2 linked regions of the Caenorhabditis elegans genome follow. The protein of the gene in region 1 interacts with the protein of each later gene in a pairwise test. Each region holds a gene or a part of one and is shown on either strand. Other genes may lie near its edges.

Region 1 (3,755 bases):
AGTTTGTAATACCTTATATTTCCTGGATTATGACTAATGTTGTTTTTTGTTTGAAGCGTTTAAAATTTGTGACAGAAAAAAAAGCAAAATGTTTTGGAATTTTAAAAATTAGGTGTCAGAGAAAAAAAAAGGTTAAATCTAGAATTTCACATCTTCAAAGAACGTGACAATGATGTTTGGTTCGTCGTCACTGTTACTGTTTCCTCTTCCCTTTCTTTCACCTGACCTCCTAAAGATTTATGACTAGTCTTTTGACTTTTGTTATTTTTGTGAAAATACTACCTACTTCAATTATTTTCGAAACAAAAATTCCAGACACAAAATGCGAGGGTGTTGAAAAAACAACGGAGAACAAAAAGCATGGAGCATTAAGGAGCGGCAGAAGGAGAAGAAAAATGCGATCGTCCGAAGAGCAACGAAGAGCAAGAGAAATCTGCCCCGAGGCCTTCTTCATTCTTCGTCACTTTCTCTCCGCTTCACAAACCGGACCCGAAAAAAAGGGAAAAGAGCTCGGCAGCTGAGCCAATGGCTGCGGGCGCTCGATGCTCGATGGACAGCTCTGGAGGGCTCATTGGGACTCGTCTCAAAGGGCCCATTCTCTCAATTCTCTTCGTTTTCGTTACGCCTTATCCGCTCTCTTTCATCCTTTCGTTTTCCCAGCTAACTAGTGCCTCTTTTTCTTCTTCCTCTTCTTCTTTTTCTTCTCTTTCTCCAGAGGACCCCGACGGAAAAACGACATACACAAGGCTTGCTTTCTATGAAAAAAAGAAGCAACACAAGACGAAAAAAAAAACGAAGTGAAGCTTCATTTTCATTGATTCGAGCCATAAACGCGGAGGAATGACGAAAAAGACACAGGAAGATGTTTGACCTAATTTGCATTTTCCAGTTTTTTCTCAAGCTTTTTTTTGCAGTGCATCTCATTAAAAACAAGATCGAAACAAAAAATCATGACGCTTGGCTCCCACAAAACCGGATAAAATATTCAAATATTTGAAGCGAGTCAAACGAGATTTTCGATGCCTCAAAAACTTGGTACTATGAATGAGAATAAAATAACAAATTTCACTGATCTAGAACAATGATATAATTATAAAGCTATGTGAATTTCAAATTTGAAAGTCTGAAACCGAGTTTCATGGTTCAGAAAACACGAACAATTAAATAAAAATCCTGAAGAATTGTAAAACCCCCATCACAAATTGTACTCAAAACGTTATAATACGCTTATGCAACACTACGTTTTCCGATAAGAAGAACCGTTTCAAAACGCAACAATTAACTTTTTTGGCGTACCACGTCAATACTCTTTCAGTGTCAGCAAATTTGAATACTTTTTCTGGTCATAATTTCGAACTGGTTCTGTCATTCTTCTCACTTTTATGTTGAAAATATTTTTTTTTTCAATTTCTAAATTCTCTGCAACTCAACTAACCTGTGCTCGTTGTTCGTTGAGTTTTTCAAAATGATCCTTCAAGAAGAGAACCGGGTTGTCGGGTTTGTGTATGCACAGAACAACTGGAAAAATCGTATTCTTACTTTCGTGTTATTATTTTGCTAGATTTTCAAAAACTCACCAATTGCTTCTTTGACAAGCTGCTGAATGTTGTGTCGTTGCACATAGGCCTGGCATTGTGCCAACTGATCCTCTTCGTTTCCACCCGACATAAAAACAATGTCACCTGAATAATTGTTCATAATTTTCAGTCATTTCTTGTTTTAAACAAACAAAAGAGACAAAAATGCGAGAAAAATAGCAGAAAACACACGTTTGAAATGAGATGAAAACTTGGTGGGGAAGGTAACAGACTTTTGACGGGGGATGCCGCGGAAAAGAGCGAGATGAGCGGTTACCGAATGAATGCTGATACACCCGCCAGTGTACAACATTTTGGAAAATCTTGGCACACAGCCTTCCCAGTAGATCAAAGCAGAATTGAGCAGCAAAAAAAGGAAGAAAAAGTGGAGAAGAAGGAAAAAACAGAGAGGAGGAGCAAGAAAAGAAAATTGATACCCAAACTTGGTTGAGCGAGAGAACGAGAAAAGAGAGAAAAGAAAAAGAGAAAAAGAGAAAAATCAGATAATTGATTTGTTGAAATTTGAAGACAAGTTCAGTTCATCACTTTGATCACACAGATGGTCGGAAAGTAAATATGATGATTGATGGTGATAATTAGCAGAATGAAAAACGTCGTCGCGCAAGTACTGAGACCGGAAACTATAATTTAAAGATAAAGGGAATTTCCTCTTTTGATAGGAGATCAACGGTTACAATATGTCGCGGAAACGGACGAATTTGATTTGAGATTTTTTTGTTTAATTCATATAGAGTTACAAGCAGCTACAAATGTATAGAAATAATTTTGATGTATACGGTTTTGAATTGTTTGCATGTATAGACTCGAAATGTACTCAAATGAACTTCTCAAAAAATAAATAAGCTATTCCGTTCGAGGGGGCGTTTAAAATTTGGGAAACACTTTTCTGCGTTGCAAATTAACTGCATTAAAGTATCATTTGTATTGCATATTTTTATAATTTATCTCACGTTTTTTTGTTAATAAGGGTGCATTTAAAGTTGATAGGTTACCAAACATAATTGAAATTCAGTACTTATCGGCTTTTAACACACTTGAATCAACTAAATAATGTGAACCAAACAATCAATAAAAATGATAATTCCATTAAAAAATATATATATAATTTTCATTCTCTGCAACTTGGAAACTTTAGCAAAACTGGTGAATCTATCAATTGTTGGTCTTTTTTGAATTTCGAATGCTAATTCGAGCCCATTTTAAGTACAAGCAAAAAACAGCAATTATTTGTTGTTCAAACCCTATTTTTTAGAAAATGCATTTAATACCTACGAATGCTAACTTTTCTCTCGCCTCTTCCCCCTCCCTATGCGGTTTCTAGGCGGGTTTGTAAACCTTTTTGCATGCGAGAGAAACAAGTGATGATAATAAACTAAACTAAACGTTCAGAAATCAATATCACAATGTGAAAATGTGAAAATGACCTATCGATGAAATCGAGGGTGTCTTCATGTTATCGCCCAATTACAACGGGGCATTTCCCCTCGGACTCTTGCTCTACACCACCCGTGGCCTTTGGTCTTTGGCATATGACGTAAATTGAAATAGGAACAGGGAGAACTGAACAATATTTTTTATCCTATTGCATGCTGGTAATCAAGTTAGCATACCAGCCGACTCTCAGCTTATCTTTAATCCATATAGGCTAATCTGTCGGATTTTTGGTACAAAAATGTAAAAGTTTTGTTGGATAAAAAGCAACGTTTCTATATTATACGGAACGCATCAAACGGGACAAAAAACTGAGAAATCGCGAAAAAGCAAAGCAAAAAGGAGAAGGAGCCCTATGAATCATGGAAGAAGCGTGAGGAGACAGAGGCAGGGACAACGACAACGACGACGCCCGGGGAAATTGTTTTTTTTTTTCGGCGTCTTCTTCGTGGAGCGCCCACCCGTTTTTTAGGTCTCAGGAGACCCTCTGCCTGTGACAGAAAAGAGGAATGTTTGAATTAGGTAGTTTTATAAGAAACCGCCCAGCGCCCATAAATTCTTTCTTTTAATCACTTCTCAATCAAAAACTCTCAATGTCAAAATCGTTATAAAAATTATTTTTCTAATCAATCTTCTAATTTCCAAATTACTATAATAAATTTTGTTTGATTTTATGATGGATACGTCTTGGAAAAAAGTATTGTGAAGATAAATACAACCCGCATG
Region 2 (3,352 bases), on another chromosome or scaffold:
GTTATCTGGATTCATATTTCCCAAAGCGGCGTTCACACCTAAAAATCAAAATTTAAATTCTGTTCGTATACTTTGAGCGGCTCACCTCCTTGAGCCGCGACTGTGTGCGATCTTGTGGGGAAAAGCTTCGTAATGACGGCAGTTTTCATTCCACCTTCGGAGAGTCCCATCGCAGCTCTCAAACCGGCTCCTCCTGCTCCCACAACAACCGCGTCAAAAGTGTGATCAACGACATCAAAATTGGTGGTTGCGCTCACTTGTTTTCTTTGAAAATTGATAAAATTAGTGAAATGGCGTTAGAAAATAAATTATCTCACTTCATATAAGTGCGAACAGGTGTTTTCGCACGGTTTATCGACTTTACGACATTAAGCATCTTGCTGAAAATACAGGAAAAATATAGAACGTTCAGAAAAACAAATAAAAATCCGATAACGGTTGAGGTGAAACCAAAAATGAGTTGGCCGCGCGAACGATACACCGTAGTTCACACTTTCGGTGCGAGACCCACCGCTCAATTTTTGTTCCTGCGCCTTTAAGTTTGAAACAACTACGGTACATTTTTCTCTATTTATTTACATGAAATTTCTGAAAAGAAACGTTTCATTTGAAATTTTATCGTAAATTTACATCTTCATTTCATAAAATTCCAGAAGAGAAAAACAATACACAAACACGACTTTTAAAAACCAAAGGCCTGTCGTTCATTTTCGAAAACTAACAGTCTAAAAATGAAAACAAAAAAAAAAAGAAAATGATGTTTTATTGATAGGGGCCTAGAGCAGGACACGAACTCGAAGATTAGTTTGCCAATCCATCCAGATGAATGGTATTTACCAGAACCACTTGGACATCCATTGTGGGAACCAATTATCGTAGAATTTCGGTCCAGCGTACTCAGAGTGTTGGCGCCAAAGATGATCACGGGTTTCATTTGATCCCCTTGAGTGAACGAATACCTAAAAAATATGATAAGCTCCAGAATTGTTATAAATTTTTTACCTCAGTAGCAGTTGGATCCCACCACTTGTCTCCGAGAGTAAAGTACACTGGCTCTCCGTACCAGGTTCCAGTCTTCCATCCTGGAACATCCTTCATAATTTCCTCTTCCAGAGCACGATTCTTGGCCAACAATTTGAGCCAATATCTGTCACGCTCGGCAGTCAAGAACGGCTCCATTGCGTTGTTGATGTCAACATCTTCGAACTTTTCAGTGCTGTAAACTTGATATTTTTGGAGATAAATTCACTAGTTATCTTACATGTCCTTCTTCTTTCCTTCAAGAGCAGCATAGACTCCGTAGGCAGTAGCTCCGAAAATGGCGGCGACGACGGTTCCAGCTTAAATTTGTGATTGATTTTAAGAAAGTTTTGTGTTTTGAATCAAAATTTGATAGACAGAAACTTAAAAATAGAATACTGTTTCAACAATAAATTTGATAAAAATGTATTTATTCTTCGCGTTATATTATTTATAGAAAATAGTGTGAAATATCAAAAATTACAGCAAAATAGCAAACTGATCCCAAAATATTATGCTAAAAACGTTCTCTGTCATTTATATTTTATTGCTCAAGACAAACAGCTTTATTTTTATAAATAGCGTCTAAGCCTTTTTATTCTTTAAAGTTTCTTGAGAATCGTTTTTCAAAATATTTATTCTGTATTTCACAGCATTCTTCTCAATTTTTTCGGCGTTTTGCGTTGTTTCATTTCGAGTAATATTTTAAAGCAAAAAAAAACAACTCACGACTCCAGACAAGCTTCGGAAAAGTGCGATGGAAGTTGAATGCACGATAGCCTCCTTTTGGAGGCATATCCTGCCGAAACTCTGCTCCAGTGGCCATTTTACCTGAAAATAATGAATATAAATTCGATAAAAAACCGAATAAATTATAAAAATCGATAATTTCGTTGAGGAAAAAAAAACTTGCAAACAGAATAGAAATTGATAAGTCGGGCAAAATGTGCGGCACGGGAATGTGGGCGTGGTCTTCGTCGCAACACTGCGGCGCACTTTCACAGCGATTTATTATTTTGGCGCGTTTATCTTTTTTTTTTGAAGACGTATTTTGCATTTATCGCTTGTTTTCTTCTTGAAATTGCTTTTTTAATATAAAAATCTGCTTTCAAACAAAATTCAAACTTATTTTCAGTACTAAAATGAATCCAAATCATAATGAAGGCCTCCTCGAGCTGTACACACAAGCAATCTCACTCGAAGCTCTCAAAGACGCTGAGCAATTCCTCGAGAATAGTTTGCTAGGAAAAGATGCACAAGTCGAACGTCTACTCGCTCAAGTTCTCATCGAAGAGCAGCAAATCGAGACGAATCGCAAAAAGATAGCACAATTGAGAATCGAGAAAGAAGAACTGGAATTCGGTGGGTTTTCGGAACTTTTCTGGTTTTATAATAATAATTAATTAATTAATTTAAATTCAGATTGTGCAAATAGTGACCTGAAGTCGTTGGAGCAGATGCAAGCCGAGCGAGATGAGCTCCAGAGGAAGTGCCAACCGGGGCAGCACACTAAATCGGTGAGATAGGGGAGATTTTGAAGCTGAGAAATGCTTTTTGTTATCTGAAAACATTCAGCGTTTCTATTATTATTTTTAATTCTAGAATCACAAATCATCTGAACAACTTTTGAGAATGAAAAAAGAAACCGACGCTCTACGTGCCTACATGAAGAAGATAAGTCAATTCGAAGACTGAAGCCATCAAATGAATCTCTATCAATTATCCCTCAATTTAAATTAATTTCCATTCAAATCGATCTGTTCTCATATTTCCTCATGATGTGATTCTCTAATCTTTTGTACATCTACAAGTTATTTTGTTTTATAAAGCCACATCTCACTTATGCATAGTTTTTGTGTCCAAAACGGAAGTGTTATTGGGAAGAAAAAGTACAACATAAGGGAAGAGTGAAGAAAATCGAGAGACGCAGATATGACTTTTTATTTGCGAACACGAAAAGCAAAGTGACCAGCAGCATTGGACACTTTTCGAGCAAACTTTTCGTCCGAGGAGGAGCTCATTGAGCTTAAGTCTCAGAGCACTGACCATTACTTCGGTCACTCTACTGTTTTGAGAAGCGTTGAGCTCTTTCAATCGTGTAAAAATGTTACCAAAAACTGGATCATTCGATGGGATTCCTAAAAATTTCAGAGCAAGTTTGAGAAGTGAGTATTTATGGTCTCGAAATTTTTTTTAAATCTTGAATTCTTATTTTTGTTTTTCTTTCTCTAGTTACTCCCAGGATTAAACCAGTAAATTAAAAAAATGCACTTAAAAATTCGATAACTTCCTAGAGTAACTTCCTACTGTAAATTTAAAGGCGCATACACAA

Evidence for each region. Proteins that work in one complex are often made in the same cells at the same time.
Region 2: the proteins of kin-2 (region 1) and kbp-5 interact in a two-hybrid assay, tested with the Caenorhabditis elegans proteins (one large-scale study listed by BioGRID).

Annotation. Positions count from the first base shown.
Region 1 is NC_003284.9:5,976,157-5,979,911, forward strand, and holds the start of kin-2 (cAMP-dependent protein kinase regulatory subunit), read right to left. Parts: upstream 1,699-3,755; coding exon 1,578-1,698; intron 1,519-1,577; coding exon 1,436-1,518; intron 656-1,435; exon of another isoform or gene 517-655; intron 1-516. UniProt on the Caenorhabditis elegans protein: Controls the rhythmic contraction of enteric muscles probably by regulating G-protein coupled receptor aex-2-mediated calcium influx in GABAergic DVB neurons.
Region 2 is NC_003279.8:10,685,208-10,688,559, forward strand, and holds kbp-5 (KNL (kinetochore null) Binding Protein), read left to right. Parts: upstream 1-2,155; 5' UTR 2,156-2,162; coding exon 2,163-2,382; intron 2,383-2,442; coding exon 2,443-2,537; intron 2,538-2,622; coding exon 2,623-2,715; 3' UTR 2,716-2,852; downstream 2,853-3,352. Other genes in the region: sdha-2 (Succinate dehydrogenase [ubiquinone] flavoprotein subunit, mitochondrial), read right to left, coding at 1-38, 86-264, 318-376; ndua-13 (NADH dehydrogenase [ubiquinone] 1 alpha subcomplex subunit 13), read right to left, coding at 834-959, 1,003-1,216, 1,262-1,340, 1,750-1,846; tag-272 (Structural protein), read left to right, coding at 3,125-3,185.